Linked DNA regions of Cricetulus griseus. The protein of the gene in region 1 purifies or fractionates together with the protein of each later gene. This does not show direct contact. Links are inferred from orthologs where the notes say so. Each region holds a gene or a part of one and is shown in the gene's direction. Other genes may lie near its edges.

Region 1 (5,013 bases):
AGTTAATTCCCAAGAATAGTTACCATCATTTGGGAGGGAGAAGGTTCCACCCTTTATTCTTAGAATGGCACAAGTCTTCATTTTGTGTGTGTGTGTGTGTGTGTGTGTGTGTGTGTGTGTGTGTGTGTGTGTGTGTGTGTGTGATGTTTTACACGCACAGGGTGTGTGTTGGGGGAACACACATGAAGGTCTGAATAAAACTTGCTGGAGTTGCTTCTCTCCTTCCACCACAGTTTGTACTCAGCATGCTAGGCCTGGCCACAAGCACCTTTAGCTGCTGAGCCATCTTGAAATCCTAATCTTTTGCTCTTTAGATTTCTTCTCTTTCTCTCTCTCTCTCTCTCTCTCTCTCTCTATATTATATATAATATATTATATATATATATAATATATATATATATATATTCCTCCCTCCCTCCCTTTCCAAAATGGAGTTCTCTGAGGAGCTTTTTTTTTTTTTTTAATTTACTTAACTTTTATTTTGTGTGCATTGAATTGGTGTCAATGCCCTGGAACTGGAGTTAGTTGTGTACTTGGAATTGAACCCTGGTCCTCTGCAAGAGCAGCCAGTGCTCTTAACAGCTAAGCTATCTCTCCAGCCCTTTCTGTAGATCTCTTTAAATAAAACCGGGTTTCCACCTTCAATCACACCAACAGCCCTGTAGTTCTGTCCTTGTTTGCTAATTGTTAAACGTTACACACACACACACACACTTTGTTTCTGTTGTCTTTTCTATAACAGAGTAATATCCTTGAGAGATTCCTGTCCAGTTGTTCATTTCTACCACCAGCACTTCCAAACAGCAGGATTGGTACTCAGAATCGTTGGATGAATTAAACTCACCTGCGAAAATTTGAAATAGCCTTTAAAAATGCGTTTTCCCATTTTATTAACAATTTAGGCACTATTTTTGGAGCATCACTGAGTAATAACACAGCATATTAACCTTCCTTTTGTGTGATTGGGAAGTCTAAGTTTGAAGAATTAATCCGTAGCAACGGGTTCCTGTATTAATTTGCAGCTGTTGGTTTTATTTCCCTCATACTGACTTGAAGCCTGGCAGCTTGGGCCTAATTAACAAGCACTAAGTATTTCACTGGAAAAGAGGTTGCCTTTTCACAGCTTCCTTTGAAGGGCCCTAAGTCAGATCAAGTGGATCCACAAGTGTGGGAAGGGACTATCCCTAGGTAAGCTGAGGGTCGGGTTCCTTTCAACTGTTCGGCGAGACTTGGCGAGCTACTCCGAGGTGCGCACGTGGAGCGCAGGGAGCCATTTAAACCAGCGAATCCGCGTTCTCGGTGCTGAGCCGGCAGACGCTTCTGGGTCCCAGTTGTCCCTTTTCCCTCTCGGCGGCAGCCCGGGAGACCCAGGACGGCCGCTCTTCCCCAGAGGGTCGCGGGCGCAGTTGGGGACAGTTTGGCGGGCGGGCCCCGCGTTTCCTGTGACAGCGCGGCCGGGCGGCTCCCTCCCGCCGCGGCGGGACCATTTCCTGAGCGTCCGGGCGGAGGCGGTCGGCGCGGCGCTACCATCAGAGCGCGGATGCGGGGGTGCAGCCCGACAGCGTGCGAGGACAGACAGCCGAGCGGGGGGCGACCGGGCGCGGGGCTCCAGCCGTCCTGGCAGCGAGTAACTTTCCAGACGCCTGGCTGGGAGCGGCAGCTCCGCGCACAGCCCGACGGTGTCGGCGATGGTCGCGGGCCCGGAGCGTCCTCCCCCACCGCGCGCGGTGAGGTGGACCTGCCCGGGAGGCGGGCGCCGAGCCCCCAGCTCCGTGGCCCCCGGAGCGCTCCGGACTAGCCGATCGCGGGCTCGGTGGCAACATGTCCGTGGCGTTCGCAGCCCCGAGGCAGCGGGGCAAGGGGGAGATCACGCCCGCCGCCATCCAGAAGGTGAGCTCGGAGAGGCGCCCGAGCGCGGGCCGAGGCGGGGGAGCGGCCCGGCGGTGGTGGGGGCGGGCGCCGGGAAGCCAGCGGAGCCCTTTGGCGCCTGCTCTGCCCGCACAAAAGCGCCGGCAACCGCCGCCCGGTTTCCCCGCGGGCCGGGTGGCCTCGCGCCGCGGGGTGCGTGCGTGCGCTCGGCGGGGCCGGGAGGGGAGCGGCCCGCGAGACTCCCGCGTCGCCCCGCCCCGCCGGGACCCCGCTCGCGGAAGCGGGAGCCCGGAGTGTTGCGCCGCAAACTCCTCGGAGTTGAGGCCCTCCCGGGAGAACTTGGGAACCTTCCGCAGAGGCTCGGGTCAGGCGGGGAAGGACCCAGTGGGCACGGGGATTCGCAGAGCAGCACCCGCGATCCGTCTCCCTCTGCTCCTCGTAGATGCGTCTGAGCGCGCAGGGCAGGCGCTGTGGTTCGGGAGGGCGAACCTGCTCCCCGCCGCCCCGAGTTGGCCGTCTAAGGCCGTCTACACCGACGGGCGGGCCGTTTGCATTGAGTCAGGGTAGAAGCGCTGGGAGCTGCGTCCTTAGAGGAGAGTGCCACCCCAGTCGCCGCCCTGGGACTGCCAACTGGGGACACAAAGGTTCTTTATTATCCCCCGAGCCTGAGTCTAAGAGCAAGGCACTGTTCTCGTTCTCAGCTTGGTAGACTTTGAAAAGTCGCTTGTTAAGTTTAACAGTTTGCCTGGAGTATTTCCATCTTGTTCCCTGCCCCGGAGCAAGGTTTAGGAGAGAAAGTCAACTCGTAGTACCAATCAGGACACCCTTGAAAACTTGTGGGTTAATGGCCACTGGGTTCTGTTTACTGTCAGGGTCTTGGTAGTGTGGCGTTTGACATTTGCCCAACTGTTGCTTTATTTTCTTTGAAGAAACCCTCCTGGCAGTGCCTGGAAACGCAGTTGTTTTCTCTAGTGGTAGCCTGCTGAACAGTCTCCTTACACACGTGCAGGAAGTGTTTCTGTAGAGATTGGCGCTTTCTTTTTGAACTCTAGAAAGTGTCGTTTTCTTTTTTCTCGGTAGAGTTTTTCCTTATGTGTCTTATTAGGTATTTATCGCGAGTGGTCTAGAAGGTGCTAACTTGTTATTTTTCATTCTCAGATGAGAAGTGAAAAAATGGACTAAAACTTTAGTGTGTGTGTGTGTGTGTGTGTGTGTGTGTGTGTGTGTGTGTGTGTGTGATGTGCATCAGATTGTTTGGAACCGGAGTTAACAGCCAGTTTTGAGTCGCATTGTGGGTACTGGGAACCAAACTTCAGCAAGAGTATTTAGTGCTCTTGTCCTCCCTCTGGGCCATCTCTCCAGTTCTCAAAACTGTATTTCAGCTTAAGTTTTGTTTGCAGTGTCAGACATTGGTATTAGATGGGAGACAGACAGATGGTTGGGGTGGTTTAATGTGTCATGCTTTCCTTGGTTTGAGTATTGAACTGATGGCACTCAGGAGGCAGAGGCTGATGGATCTCTGGATTTGAGGCCAGCCAGGTCTACTTAATGAGTTCCAGGACAGCCAGAGAAACCCTGTCTCAAAAAGAAAAAAAAATATTCTTGGTATCTAGTGATCATATTTATGAAGCACACCTTAGAGAAGTGTTTGCCCTTAGTAATGGAAGATTATGATAAATGTGCAGGAAATATCAATTAATAGCAATTGATCTTTGTTTTTAACTGTAAATCACATTGAATGATTGAGATGGTGGTTTTGGTGTTGTCGTCTGATTATTCATGAAATCATGAAAGGTGGGTTCAGGATCAGCAGTACCCTGATCTTAAAGCTCCTACAAACTTAGGTGGCGTGCTAGAGACAGCATGCTGGCACTAAAACAGTCTTCTGTGGGTTTCTTTGTTAGGCACCATTGGTAGAGGTGAATTATTTAACCCTCAGAGCCACGGTTGCTTAGATTATTACCATGATAAGATGATAATTTATGTATCTTATAGGTTTTGTTTTGTTTCGTTTTTTTTTGAGACAGGGTTTCTCTGTGTAACAGAGCTAGTTGTCCTTGAATACCTCTGTAGATCAGGCTGGTCTGGAACTCACAGAGATCGGCCTGCCTCTGCCTCTGCTTCTGCCTCTGCCTCTGCCTTCTGACCACTGGGATTAAAGGCATGTACTACCACTGCCTAGTGTATCTTATGTTTTTTAGACTTTCTGAGATACCTTATTTTATATTATAAACTCAAATTCTATTAAATATAATAAATGTATAGAGAACACTGTTATGTGTTGTTTTGGAGAATCACAAATTATACAGTTAGAAAAGAAGTTACTTCAAGTCCCTAGGCAGCTGTATTGATGTGTGTATTTCAGTCTGGGTAAGGACAGATTTTTTTCCCTTCATCCTACAAAGCATTAGAATGCTCCAGAACCAATTGGGACTCAACTTTCAGCTAGTGGAAATTGTAGTTACAGATAGCATAGGTAATTAAATGTTTTTGTATTCAAAAACAAAAACATGGGCCTGGAGGATGGCTCATTGTGGTTCAAGGAGAGAACCAATGCCACAGAGTTGTCCTCTGATCTCACATGCACCTGGTGGGCACTCAGGGGTGTGTGTGTGTGTGTGTGAGAGAGAGAGAGAGAGAGAGAGAGAGAGAGAGAGAGAGAGAGAGAGAGAGAGAGAGAGAGAGAGAGAGAGAGGAGAGAGAGGAGAGAGAGAGAGAGAGGGAGGGAGAGAGAGAGAGAGAGAGAGAGAGAGAGAGAGAGAGAGAGAGAGAGAGAGAGAATGAACACACACTAATGCTAAAAAAAAAATAAGTGAAAAGGAAAAGGGACAATAAGTTTCCCTTCTGGGTTTCAAGAAGAAGAGTAATTGAAATAGGTATTAAACATAACTGATTAAATGTGATACCATTTCAAATATACAAAGTAAAGGATTTTTTGTGTCTCAAGTTATAATCTGTGTATTAACAGAAGACCCCAGTAGGTTCCATTTCCATGTAGATGTGACATTTCTAGAAAAATCCAAATTACAAAAAATCAGTTGTTGTAGAATTATCTATATGAATCATGTATAGCATATTTTATAAGTGATTTGTACATTTTAACAGTAATGAAAAACTTTAACTAAGTTAATTCAATCTCATGAG
Region 2 (4,583 bases), on another chromosome or scaffold:
TGTCCTCATTTTGTTTTGTTATTAATAACCCTGAGCCCAATTAGTGCTGCCCACATTCACATGGGTGTGAACAACCTACTGGCAGCCATGTCCCCAGAGGAGAATGAATCTCTCTCCCTTAACAGCCATAAACTGCCAATAGCTCATCCACCAAGGGGTGGGGCCTTGGGGCCACATCCCCAGCCATGCTGGAATGTGATTGGTTTGATCTTGTGCAGGTTAACTACAGCCACTTCGAGTCTAGAGGCCAGCGTCTAATAGCTCTTCCTCTATCCGAGAGCTCTTACATTTTTTTTTTTTTTTTTACCCCCTTTCCACAGTGGTTCTTGAGGTTTGGATGGAAACTGAATATAGATGACTTACTTATTCTCAGCCAAGTGCTCACACAGTTACTTATGCTCTCTTGACCAGCTATGTGTCTCTGCACTAACCATTACCTACTACTATAAAAAGAAACTTCTATGAACAAAGTTAAGAGCAAGAGAGCAACAGAAACATATATAGGTATAAACATAAATATTTACAACGTGGTTTGTATGATATAACCAGAAGTCCACTTAACGAATCATCCCCAGAGCCTATGATCTCCCAAGTAGTGGGCTTTTGACCAGTATGAAACCCGTTTTGTAGAGCAGGCCTAACATCCAATCAGAAAGTGCCTAGTTAGCGCTGGAGCCATGGCGTCAGTGGGCACACACTGCTAGGCAGGTTGGTATTGTAGGGTTCGGGCCTGGTGTTTACCCCTCAGCAGCCTGCACAGCGCCTTTTGGCCAATGTAAGCTGGGCAGCAGGGAGAGGACCCTCTGCTCCTCAGTGTTACCTGACGTAGAAATTTGATGCCAGGATTTAAAATGGGACTTGAATTACATATTCCAAATTCCTTCATGGTGGCTCCTAGATAGTGGCTTTGTCTCCTCAGGGGACAGAAGTCTTTGGGTAGGGGAACATCTTCAGAATGCTGCTTCCAACATGAAGGCATCTCTCCTGCCCCACACCTTGAGAGACCTCTCTGCTGAGGACACCTTAGGTACAGGCAGGCACCAAAGAAGAAAATATGGAGGAAAACCCAGCACAGAACAGAGAGAAAGTCTGTTGTGTCTCTAGAGACCTTAGCCAGCTCCTCAGTTGGTGTGCCCGGATCTACAATGTTTTGTTATTTTGAAACAGGGTCTCACTCTGTGGTCTTGACTGGTCCAGAACCACCGGTGCTGAGATTAAAGGTGTGTGTTACCACGCCTAGCGTATTTTGTATGATTTTTTTTCAAAAAGATTTATCTATGTGTATTAATGTTTTGTCTGAATATATAACGTGTGCACCATGTTCATGCCTGATGCACACAGACACCAGAAAAGCAGATGTGCTGCTGGAACTGGAGTTACAGACTGCTGTGAGCTGCCATGTGGGTGCAGTTGAACCCCAGGTCCTCTGCAGAGCAACAAGTGCTCTAAACTCCCTATTTTGTATGTTTTTTAAAAATGTTTTGTGAGACTGGAGAGTTGACTCAGTGGCTAAGAGTCCTGCTCTACAAGAAAAAAAGCCTATAATCCAGGTCTAAGGAATCCTACCCCTCCTCTGGTCTCCACAGGCACTAACACATACACGGCACACACACACACACACACACACACACACACACACACACACACACACACAAATACACACGAAAACTATTTTACAAGCTTTAGAAACTGGGCGTGGTTTAATTCTAGAAGGCAGAAGCAAGATCTATGAGTTTCAGACTAGCCTTTTGTTTTGTTTTGTTTTTTGTTTTTCAAGACAGGGTTTCTCTGTGGCTTTGGAGCCTGTCCTGGAACTAGCTCTTGTAGACCAGGCTGGTCTCGAACTCACAGAGATCCGCCTGCCTCTGCTTCTCAAGTGCTGGGATTAAAGGCGTGTGCCACCACCACCCGGCAGGCTAGCCATTTTGTAACTAGGGGTGGTAGTATGTGCTCCTCATTCCAGCACTTGAGAGATGGAGGCCAGAGGATCAGGAGTTCAAGGCCATCCTTAGCTACATGGTAAATTATGGTCAGACTGAAATATATGAGGCCCTATCTTAAAAGTTTTTTCAAACACACAAAATAGATATAGCAGATGGAACACTGTGAACTTAACACTGGACTTTACTACTAAGTGATTCATAGCCACTAAATATTATCTCTTCTCATCATTATTATTATAATTTGAAAAGATTTTTTTAATTTATAATTTTTTTTGAGTCAGGGTCTCTATGTAGCTCTGGCTGTTCTATAGCTCACTATTGTAGATGAGGCTGGTCTCAAACTCACAGAGATCCTCTTGTCTCTGCCTCCTGAGTGCTGAGATCAAAGGCATGCACCACCACAAGGATTTTTGTTGTTTTTCCAGACAGGGTTTCTCTGTGGCTTTGGAGCCTATCCTGGCACTCGCTCTGTAGACCAGGCTGGCCTCGAACTCACAGAGATCCTCCCGCCTCTGCCTCCCGAGTGCTGGGATTAAAGGTGTGCGCCACCACGGCCCAGCTATGACTGTTCTTTTAGGATTTGGATCTCAGTAATCTTTTTAAAAGCTTCCCAAGTTGTTACAGCTTGGACAGTGACATCATTTAATGAACACCTTTATCTTTGAGTCACCGCACCAGACATCCTTGAACTGCTTCTGCTTGCTGGTGTCAGAAGACGCTGCAGACACATCGTTGTGTTTCCTGTCTCAAAGAACTGAAACAACCCTCTAAAGATGCCTGCAGACTTAGGATAGATACTGTCTGTCTATCCTAAGTGTTGTAGAGGGCCAAGAACAGGGCATCCAGTGCTGCCAATGGAGAACATTTTAAGGCCTTCCTGAAGATCTGTGGACTCACCTTCCACACCGTTGCCACCCCTATTCCCTCCGTCTCAGCTGAGCAAGCTGAGACTGCACAAATGTATGCAGCTGCCCAGGTTTCAGCTAAGGGGGTGCGGGACTAAGTCAAGCCCACCAAGAGTGTCTGATCCCAGAGACAGCTCCTTTAGTCTCTAACCAGGTTATGCTTCAGCTTCTGTCTTCTGTCAGGTGCAGAACTTAGGGTTAGTGGGTAGGATGATTGCCTGACAAGTTTGATGGATCACATAAATGACTTGGACAAGCATGTTTGTCCCCAAGATGGTTGAGCCTGTTAAGGTGCCTGCCACCAAAACTGAGTCTGCGTTTGATCCCTGGGTCCATGTGGTGGGAGGAGACAACCATTATTTCACACATGTGCCTCTACTCCCTTCCATGCACATGAAACAAATAAATGTAATTTTTTGTTATTGTGTTTTGCTTTATTTTTTGAGACAGGGTCTCTCAGTGTAGCCCTAGCTGTTCTGGAACTCACTGTCCAGATCAGACTGGCCTTGAACTCACAGAGATCTATTTGCCTCTACCTTCCAAGTAATGGGATTGCAGGTTTGCACAACCACACCTGGCTCTTCTTCTTCTTCTTTTTTTAAGCCAGATTGGTAGTACAAATTTGTAATATCAGTGCTGAGAAGGTGGAGACAGGTAGAACTATGGGTCTTACTGATCAGCCAGTCTGTGAGATCCAGGTTCAGCAAGAGATCCTGTTTCAAAGAATAAGATGTAGGGTGATTGAGGAGGACACCCAATCTGTACACACACAAAGAAACCTGTACACACACGCAGAACCTAGCTCTTTGCAATATTATCCCACAGTCTCTCTGTTAGGACTCCTATCATCCTCCTGACTTTGTGTGGGGTAAGGAGAAGAGCAACTACCCATATTTTCTTTTCTTGTTGCAGGATTCTGGAGTGAGAATGACAAGGAGAGCCCTCCAAGAGAAAGCCTTGAAAACAGAGCCCCTCAGGAGGCTTCTTCCCAGGAGAGGCCTCCGGACGAATGCTCGGTCTACTTCCACGGTGCCAGACACCAGAGCTCTGGGAGGTGGGAACAAGGCCCAGAGGGCACCCAGGACGATACCACAAGGGAAGGGGAGGTGAGCGGGCCCCTCCCACTAGGTGAGGCCCTTAGGTCTTCTTTAGTGACCCAAGATTCAGTCACCTACTTGCACCAGTTAAGGGTAGAGAGAGCTTTGGAGCTGGATGCCTGCTGTGTGGACTTCGAGGTAGGCAATCAGCCCTCCACTTGGCCCTAACCCTAAATCATGGATCCATCTTGCTTGCTGTGGGTCCAAAACTTTGGAGCTTGGGGCAGGTCACAGACAAGGAGTGTCTGAGGACGCTGCTAGATGATGCCCAGAAACAACCTGAATATACAAAAGAGTAGACGCAGGGCCAACTCGGCCACCTTTTCATGCACCAGGGCAGCCATCCACCAAAGGGCCAGGCATGGCCCCCAGGGTGGCTCCTTCAGCCTCTGGAACCATGGAATCTACTCTGGTGAGCAGCAAGCAGTGTCTGAAGCATTGGGCAACAGGTGCTAGGTGCTACCTTGCGGAGTCTGCGAAAGGTGTCAAAATTCATGCTTGTGTAGAGATACCACTCCAACAAGCACCTGGCAGATTCCTCTCCCTCCACGGGCCTTTGAACGTTAGGCCTGCCAAATAATCTGTGGCTCAAGAAAGCATACGCCAACCTTGCCTGTCAATCGAGAGGCACACATGGT
Region 3 (4,583 bases), on another chromosome or scaffold:
TCCCCAGACTGCCCTCCCTCCCTGACGGGCGGCCTTGCTCGGGGGTGAGCAGGGCTCCCTGACGGTACACGCCTCCCCAGACTGCCCTCCCTCCCTGACGGGCGGCCTTGCTCGGGGGTGCTAGGGCAGGGCTCCCTGACGGTACACGCCTCCCCAGACTGCCCTCCCTCCCTGACGGGCGGCCTTGCTCGGGGGTGAGCAGGGCTCCCTGACGGTACACGCCTCCCCAGACTGCCCTCCCTGCCTGACGGTACACGCCTCCCCAGACTGCCCTCCCTGCCTGACGGTACACGCCTCCCCAGACTGCCCTCCCTGCCTGACGGTACACGCCTCCCCAGACTGCCCTCCCTGCCCGACGGTACACGCCTCCCCAGACTGCCCTCCCTGCCTGACGGTACACGCCTCCCCAGACTGCCCTCCCTGACGGGCGGCCCTGCTCGGGGGTGCTAGGGCAGGGCTCCCTGACGGTACACGCCTCCCCAGACTGCCCTCCCTCCCTGACGGGCGGCCTTGCTCGGGGGTGAGCAGGGCTCCCTGACGGTACACGCCTCCCCAGACTGCCCTCCCTCCCTGACGGGCGGCCTTGCTCGGGGGTGCTAGGGCAGGGCTCCCTGACGGTACACGCCTCCCCAGACTGCCCTCCCTCCCTGACGGGCGGCCTTGCTCGGGGGTGAGCAGGGCTCCCTGACGGTACACGCCTCCCCAGACTGCCCTCCCTGCCTGACGGGCGGCCTTGCTCAGGGGTGAGCAGGGCTCCCTGACGGTACACGCCTCCCCAGACTGCCCTCCCTGACAGGCGGCCTTGCTCGGGGGTGCTAGGGCAGGGCTCCCTGACGGTACACGCTTCCCCAGACTGCCCTCCCTGACGGGCGGTCTTGCTCGGGGGTGAGCAGGGCTCCCTGACGGTACACGCCTCCCCAGACTGCCCTCCCTGACGGGCGGCCTTGCTCGGGGGTGAGCAGGGCTCCCTGACGGTACACGCTTCCCCAGACTGCCCTCCCTGACGGGCGGCCTTGCTCGGGGGTGCTAGGGCAGGGCTCTCTGCCTAGGCTAGGGCAGGGCTCCTCACGGCAGGGAGAGCACCAAGCGGTCCTCCCTTGTGATCACAAGCCTTTACCATCGTGCCCAGCCTACTGTGTCCCAAACATAGCCTACTAGCACTAGTGAAGCACGCACTGCAGCAGCAAGAGCACTGTATGAGAACTGTTTCGCCTGCGCATGTAGGCACGCGCGTCTACCTATGTCTATACGTATGTGGCTCCTATGACCCAGAAGGTAAATCTCACAGCTTATGGTCAGAAATTTGAGAGCTGCCAGAGAGTAGACTGAGTAGTTACCTTTTCACACCCCATCCCTAAAGAAGCTTTCTTTTCTTTCCTTCTCTGTTAATTATCTAGAGCAGTCCCCTGAATGGTAGAGACTTTCTAGGAGACTAAGGTATTGAAGGACTATAGTGGGTGTTTAAATGGGGGTGGGGGGTTTAGAACCTACAACCTCATATATGTTAACCTCATATATTGCTATATCATTAAGCCATGCCCTTAGCTCCAGAGGCTTCTGATTTGCCTAGTATCATGTTGTATATAGCTGTGGTATTGGCCTCGTCAGTAATCAACCAGTGCAGCCCCTCCTTCCCCCAAGGGGGCCAGCACTACTACTACCAGCGGGTTATTACTTCTAAGAAGATATGGTAGGGCTTCCAACACGTCTGTCATCTCAAGCCCATTGCTCTTCCTCTTCAGCAAAAGCGAAAACTTCGGATCTATATTTCCAATACATTCAGCCCCAGCAAGACAGACGGCGATAACGCAGGAACTGCAGGAACCCCTGGGGGAACTCCAGCAGCAGACAAGGTGGCTTCCTGGGAGCTTCGAGTGGAAGGCAAACTTCTGGATGATGTGAGTTGGAGAAAGAGGTATTGGGAGGGGAGGGGTGTATAAATTTAGACTGTGGACAGACATGAGCACTCAGTCCTAGGATAGGGAAAGGGTGAGGTTAGAATTGGTGGTGGGGGGGTTGTTTCTATGCTGGGGATCAAACCCTGGACCTCACACACATTAGGCAAGTGCTCCGTGAGAGACTGAGGATGGGCATCTGGAGTTATTACAACGCTCCTATGGATGGCAGTCGAGTCTTGGATTCCCTCACTCACTTGGGTCAATGGAGAGGAGCCCTTTTCCTGCCCTTTGACAAACTTTGCTACTTCAGGGCCCAAGACTGTGCCTTGAGCTCCAGGACTGAATCGCTGCTCCAATGAATTCAGCAGCACACCCATCTTACAGCTCTTTCCATTCCCAGCCTAGCAAACAGAAGAGGAAGTTTTCATCTTTCTTTAAGAGCCTTGTCATTGAGCTGGACAAGGAGCTGTATGGGCCTGACAACCACCTGGTGGAGGTGAGAATGGTCCTAGAGCCTGGGAGGGACAAGCTGCCAGGGGATACAGAGCGTAAACTCGGGTACCAGTGTGCTGATTGAGTGCTGTACCTATCCGTTAGGGATAAACTCTGCTCCCCTTTTCTCCGACAGTGGCATCGGATGCCCACCACCCAAGAAACAGATGGCTTCCAGGTCAAACGACCAGGAGATCTCAATGTCAAGTGCACCCTCCTGCTCATGCTGGATCACCAGGTGACAGATGCCCAGGGTCATGTGGGGCCATGCGGATTCATGCAGGGAAGGGGAGCAGATGCCTGTAACTCAGTGTTACCTAAGACCATCGGAAAACAGATACTTCCATTAGAACTCGTAACAGTAGCAAAGTTATAGTGTGAAGTAGCAACGAAAAGGAACTGTATTAAATAGAGTTCCAGCTTTAGGAAGTTTGAGAGCCACTGCTCTGACTCCTTCCTGTTCTGTCTCTGCACAAGAGCCTTTCTTTACTCCTCTGTCCATTCCAGCCGCCTCAGTATAAACTGGACCCCCGGCTGGCACGGTTGCTGGGAGTGCACACACAGACGAGGGCTGCCATCATGCAGGCGCTGTGGCTTTACATCAAACACAACCAGCTGCAGGACGGGCATGAGCGGGAGTACATCAATTGCAATCGCTACTTCCGCCAGGTCAGCTGGTACTACCTTCTTGTTCCCTCAGCCCCTGGCTCATCTGCTTTGGAAGCCTAGTGGGCAAGTACTCAGTCTTTTGACTGCGTCTGTTGGCCCTGGAGAAGTCTATTCCCCGGTTCCCTCAGGCATCAGCATGCCTTGGATGCTCTTTCTAGATCTTCAGTTGTGGCCGACTCCGTTTCTCTGAGATTCCCATGAAGCTGGCTGGATTGTTGCAGCATCCAGACCCCATTGTTATCAATCATGTCATTAGGTAAACAGGAAAAGGAATGGGATGGCTCTTTGGAAACAGGACTCACCGCAGAACTTTACTCATAGAGCAGGCTTGGTGGTTGGGATGTGCACAGCCATGTTTCTGCTTCCTTCCTTTGCTGCCTGCAGTGTGGACCCGAATGACCAGAAGAAGACAGCCTGCTATGACATTGATGTGGAGGTGGATGACCCACTGAAGGCCCAGATGAGCAACTTTCTGGCCTCTACCACCAACCAGCAGGAGATTGCCTCTCTTGATGTCAAGGTGAGTCCTTTGTCTCCACAGCAACTGAAGCCAGAGTGAGGGTCAGCGGCTCTTGTCATTTCCACACAGCACATTTAGGATAGGACCTCTGGACCTAGATATAAGAAGAGACTCCCAGACTGGAGCACTCATGACACTTGCACCCTTCTCCAGATCCACGAGACTATTGAGTCCATCAACCAGCTGAAGACCCAGAGGGATTTCATGCTTAGCTTTAGCACTGACCCCCAGGACTTCATTCAGGAATGGCTCCGTTCCCAACGCCGAGACCTCAAGGTATAGTCAGTCCTCTTGTTTTGAAGGTGGTCTCACTGGGTGACTTTTACCCCAAGTACTATTCCAGTCCCAGAGCAGACTGGCTCAGAGGTGGGAATTATGCCACACCTTACCCCTTGCCCTTTACAGATCATCACGGATGTGATTGGGAACCCTGAGGAGGAGAGACGAGCTGCTTTCTACCACCAGCCCTGGGCTCAGGAAGCAGTTGGGAGGCACATCTTTGCCAAGGTGAGGCTCTGCCAGTTTTTTTTTTTTTTTTGCCTCCTTTTCTTGAGAAGCTGAAGCCTGAGCCATGCTTTCTCTTCTCCAGGTGCAGCAGCGAAGGCAGGAACTGGAACAGGTGCTGGGAATTCGCCTGACCTAACTGCTCAGGGATTGCTTCCTTCCTTCCCAGCCCCGGAACCTGGCGGGAGACCATCCTCTTGGTTTTGGCTGGGGCTGCAGACCTCCATGTAGGATGGAGTGAGGTGTGTCTCCTATCACCCTCTACTCCCCAGCTAGTTTCATAAATGTAGTGTTAGGATTCCTTATTGCTTGGTCCCCAAAGCCTTATTACTTACCTTTTAGCATTGGCTTTAATCGGGCTCTAAGGTGCCGCCTCAGCCCCCTGCAGGCAGGCCCACGGACTGCTGGAGGTTGTGCTTTAATTTCGTAACAGACATTTCTGAACCAAAGGCTGCTGGGTTTGCATGTTTACAGGCTCCACCCTAGGGCCAGTGTCAGCT
Region 4 (4,103 bases), on another chromosome or scaffold:
TATACATGGGGTGGAATGAGCATGCCACATTTACATAGCAGAAAAAGTCTGACGTCTCCGTATTACCTTTCCCCCTTTGCCATAAGGCAAGACCATAGAACTTTCCTGACCTGGAACTCCCAGACAGTTGCTATTCCCAGGGCTAGTTGTTGCATCCTGGGCTGAGTCCTTCCAAAAGCCAATGTAGAAAAATGTTAGTAGGTGTGGGGTTGGGTTTTAGAGAGGGGAGAGAATCCTAGAAACTGAAGAGATCCAGGGCCTGATGTTCTTGGATAAGGGACAGGGGCCATCACTAAGGTTTGTCCCAGATTAGAAATGCTGGGGACATAAGTATTTTCCATGATGCTTTACAGCTTGTCAGACTGGGTGAGTAGCACCTTCGTGTCCTAACATTTCTCTGCAATCTTCTTCCACCCAGTTTGTGGAAAACGCTACAAGAATCGACCTGGCCTCAGTTACCACTATGCCCATTCCCACCTGGCTGAGGAGGAGGGAGAGGACAAAGAAGACTCTCAACCACCTACTCCTGTTTCCCAGAGGTCTGAGGAGCAGAAATGTAAGCTGAGGTGTCAGGATGAGCAAACAGGAGAGGAGCCAGCCTGGTTATAAAAACCCTCTTTGGGGAGGAGCTTGATTCTGCCCCAACTTAATGTACCAAACTATGTTGAGTCCAAATGAGAGCCCTTACCTGTTGGGGGTGGGGAGTGGGCTGGGAGGGGAGGCGAGGGGAGCAGGAGGAGGGAGGGGAGGAAGAACTTTGGTTGGAATGTAAAATGAAATTTAAAAAAATACTTAAAATAAAAGTCCTCCTTGTAGGGAATGTGGGGCATCATCAAAATTCCTTTCTTTTTTTCCTGTAGCCAAGAAAGGACCTGATGGATTAGCCCTGCCCAACAACTACTGTGACTTCTGCCTGGGAGACTCAAAAATCAACAAGAAGACAGGGCAGCCTGAGGAGCTAGTGTCCTGTTCTGACTGTGGCCGCTCAGGTACTTCCATTCTCAAAGAGCAGGCTGCACTCAGTGCCCAGGACACTCTTGGCCTGGTTACTTCAGTGCTGTCAGGCAGCCTCCCATCCCCATTCCCCACGGGTTTCCAGCCCCCGTTTGACTCGCCTCCCCCACAGGGCACCCGTCCTGCCTGCAGTTCACCCCCGTGATGATGGCGGCTGTGAAGACCTACCGCTGGCAGTGCATCGAGTGCAAGTGCTGCAACCTCTGCGGCACTTCGGAGAATGACGTGCGTGCGCCCTCTCAGCCTGCCTGGCTCTCCCCTCAGCTCCCCCAAAGCAAGCTTTCTGTCAGCACAAGCAAGGGCCTCCCTCCTTCCACGCCCCTCCTTAGCCTCCCCTGGGGAACTTTACACTTGTTTAAAAAAATCTGTTTCTTGAGCACCAGCAGTCGGTGTTTTTGGCTCTCAGGTCACTAAGTAAGACAGAGAAGACCATGCTTTCATCAAATTTGTGTACTTGGGTAACAGAGTTTTGTATGATATACCTTGATGAGCCAAAGAGTTAACTGGTCTACAAAGCAAGTTCCAAGACAGGCTCCAAAGCTACACAGTGAGACCCTGTCTCAAAAAACAAACAAAAAAAAAGAGTTAACTTGATACTGATAGAGGTTTCTAGTTAGATTTGCTTTTGGAGGAAATGAAGTTGGTGTTGGAGTTTTGATAACACAAAGAGCCAGTCCAAAAAGGTACAAAATGAGTGTATTTCCAAAGAGGTATAGCCAGTGCAGAGACCTTGAGATTGGCAAGCCCGCTGTAACAAGGCCATTGCTACCCACTAGATCTTTCATGTGGGGGAAGGTGAATCGGAGAGGTGGATGTTGTTTGATCTATGGGTCTTGAGTCCTTTTGTGAGCAGTGAGGAATCCTGGAGATTGACCCCAGGACCTGGTGAACACTAGGCATGAGCTTTGCTGCTAAGCTCCACCCCTGTGCTTGGACCTTGGGGATGTTGACAGAGGCCATTTATTTGGGGGTGGTTGTTGTGTGATATGTTCTGTCTCATATTTTCAGAAGGTAACTGGCAGCTTTGTAGAGAAGAGATTGTAGGGAAATAGTAGGCTTTGTGATCAGTTAGAATCTGGATAGGTTGAGATGGGCAGGTCTTACTTCTTTATTTTAATTACTTAACTTCATGTGCATTGTTGTTTTGCCTGCATGTATGTCTGTGTAAGGGTATCAGGTCTCATGGAACTGGAGTTACAGACAGTTGTGAGCTGCCATGTGGGTGCTGGGAATTAAACCCAGGGCCTCTGGAAGAACAGTCAGTGTTCTTCACTGCTGTGCCATCTTTCCAGCCCCTCTACATCTCTTCTTAGCAGCTACTAGTCCCTCATAAAAGTAGCAGCAGTGTCACAACTTGGGTACATAAGCCTTTGGATCCTTGTTCTTTCTTTCTCCTTACCTTCTGCAGGACCAGCTGCTCTTCTGTGATGACTGTGACCGTGGCTACCACATGTACTGTCTCACCCCATCCATGTCGGAGCCTCCTGAAGGTAAGTGGCCCACCCAAAATACTTTATCCCAGAAGGATCCATAACACCCAAGTAAAACATGACTTGTTATAGGTCTTAATTGTGTGGTTTCAGCATTTTTTGATTTCTTAAGACAGGGTTTCTCTGTATAACAGCCCTGACTGCCCTGAAACTCACTTTGTAGACCAGGTTGACCTTGAACTCACAGAGATCCGCCTGTATCTGCCTCCCAAGTGCTGGGATCAAAGGCATGCATCACCACTGCCTGGCCCAGAATTTTTTTTTCTTTAAAGACTTTATTATGTATACAACATTCTGCTTCCATGTACATCTGCACACCAGAAGAAGGCACCAGATCTTATAATGGATGGTTGTGAGCCACCATGTGGTTGCTGGGAATTGAACTCAGGACCTCTGGAAGAGCAGTCAGTGCTCTTAACCGCTGAGCCATCTCTCCAGCCCCCAGAATTTTAATTTAAAGAACTTAATGTTTGCAAGCTGTCTTCCTTTGTATAGTCCAGAAATTCAGTTGGAGCTTATCTAACATGATATTTCTTTTGTCGCTCTCCTACTCTGATGGATTGTTTCTTTCCTCTCTTCCCCATTCGGGAGGGAGTTGACCCTGGAGCTTGGGGTATTTTTTTGCATCTCTTGTGGTTCACTTAGTAATGCTCCAAGTTCATGGAAGTGCTACACCAACACCAATGGTGACATCAAGGAGTGGTTCTTTTCCACAAGTCCCTTCCAACTGTGTTTCTGTGCCTAGCTCCTTCCTCTAAGGTAGTAGTTCTCAGCCTGTGGGTCTCAATCCCCATAGGGATCACATATTGGATATCCTGCATATCGGATATTTATGTTACAGTTCGCCAAGCGATGATGGCACACGCCTTTAATTCCAGTACTCGGGAGGCAGAGGCAGGTGGATCTCTGTGAGTTTGAGACCAGCCTGGTCTACAAGAGCTAGTTCCAGGACAGCCTCCAAATCACAGAGAAACCTGTCTCGGAAAAAAAGAAAAGACAACAGATATTTATGTTACAATTCATAATAGTAGCAAAATTAACAGTTATGAAGTAGCAATGGAATTTTATGTTTGGGGGATCACTACAACATGAGGAGCTGTATTAAAGGGTCTCAGCATTAGGAAGGTTGTGAACCACTGCAAGAGACTCAAAGCTTGTCCAGGAGGGCCTAAGTACCTAGTAGCTCTGCTGTGCACAGACAGGAGCCAGCCTTCAAGTGGGAGTAGTTTACTGTTTCCAGAAGCTGACTGGTAATGTAGGTCAGACTGCAGAAAATGAGGCCACTAGCAAAACTGGTGAGTACTTTAACAATTGCAGGACCACACAGTGCTACTGAATGCCACATCCATCTCCAAATCAGCTTGAAGAAAGTAGTCCTTGTGTTTTGTTTAATGACCAAATAGCACCTTATAGACAGAACTTGCATTGATGGCCCAAGGGCTTTCCCATTGATATTTTGTGAGACACTGGGTAGTGGAGAGTTGCAGGCCAAGTATTTCCTCACTGGAACATCAGGAGGTCGTCTTCTTTAGGTCATGGTTGGCATGGCATGCCTTATGGGCCATATCTAGCTGTGTCAGTTTACATAGCTTGCAAATC

What was found. Proteins that work in one complex are often made in the same cells at the same time.
Region 2: the proteins of Ss18 (region 1) and Bcl7c purify together in Homo sapiens (affinity purification with mass spectrometry; 3 studies listed by BioGRID and IntAct, counting the BioPlex papers as one, with this or other methods). This does not show direct contact. The link is inferred for Cricetulus griseus from reciprocal best matches to the Homo sapiens genes SS18 and BCL7C.
Region 3: the proteins of Ss18 (region 1) and Smarcd2 purify together in Homo sapiens (affinity purification with mass spectrometry; 4 studies listed by BioGRID and IntAct, counting the BioPlex papers as one, with this or other methods). This does not show direct contact. The link is inferred for Cricetulus griseus from reciprocal best matches to the Homo sapiens genes SS18 and SMARCD2.
Region 4: the proteins of Ss18 (region 1) and Dpf2 purify together in Homo sapiens (affinity purification with mass spectrometry; 4 studies listed by BioGRID and IntAct, counting the BioPlex papers as one, with this or other methods). This does not show direct contact. The link is inferred for Cricetulus griseus from reciprocal best matches to the Homo sapiens genes SS18 and DPF2.

Annotation. Positions count from the first base shown.
Region 1 is NC_048595.1:221,683,886-221,688,898, forward strand, and holds the start of Ss18 (protein SSXT), read left to right. Parts: upstream 1-1,732; 5' UTR 1,733-1,821; coding exon 1,822-1,890; intron 1,891-5,013. UniProt on the Homo sapiens protein: Appears to function synergistically with RBM14 as a transcriptional coactivator. Isoform 1 and isoform 2 function in nuclear receptor coactivation. Isoform 1 and isoform 2 function in general transcriptional coactivation.
Region 2 is NC_048596.1:73,095,452-73,100,034, forward strand, and holds part of Bcl7c (B-cell CLL/lymphoma 7 protein family member C), read left to right. Parts: intron 1-3,760; coding exon 3,761-3,958; 3' UTR 3,959-4,583. UniProt on the Homo sapiens protein: May play an anti-apoptotic role.
Region 3 is NC_048600.1:119,211,694-119,216,276, reverse strand, and holds part of Smarcd2 (SWI/SNF-related matrix-associated actin-dependent regulator of chromatin subfamily D member 2), read left to right. Parts: intron 1-1,742; coding exon 1,743-1,898; intron 1,899-2,298; coding exon 2,299-2,394; intron 2,395-2,526; coding exon 2,527-2,628; intron 2,629-2,897; coding exon 2,898-3,059; intron 3,060-3,217; coding exon 3,218-3,315; intron 3,316-3,443; coding exon 3,444-3,579; intron 3,580-3,732; coding exon 3,733-3,855; intron 3,856-3,984; coding exon 3,985-4,086; intron 4,087-4,168; coding exon 4,169-4,222; 3' UTR 4,223-4,583. UniProt on the Homo sapiens protein: Involved in transcriptional activation and repression of select genes by chromatin remodeling (alteration of DNA-nucleosome topology).
Region 4 is NC_048596.1:53,440,990-53,445,092, forward strand, and holds part of Dpf2 (zinc finger protein ubi-d4), read left to right. Parts: intron 1-418; coding exon 419-556; intron 557-860; coding exon 861-989; intron 990-1,126; coding exon 1,127-1,239; intron 1,240-2,422; coding exon 2,423-2,504; intron 2,505-4,103. UniProt on the Homo sapiens protein: Plays an active role in transcriptional regulation by binding modified histones H3 and H4. Is a negative regulator of myeloid differentiation of hematopoietic progenitor cells. Might also have a role in the development and maturation of lymphoid cells.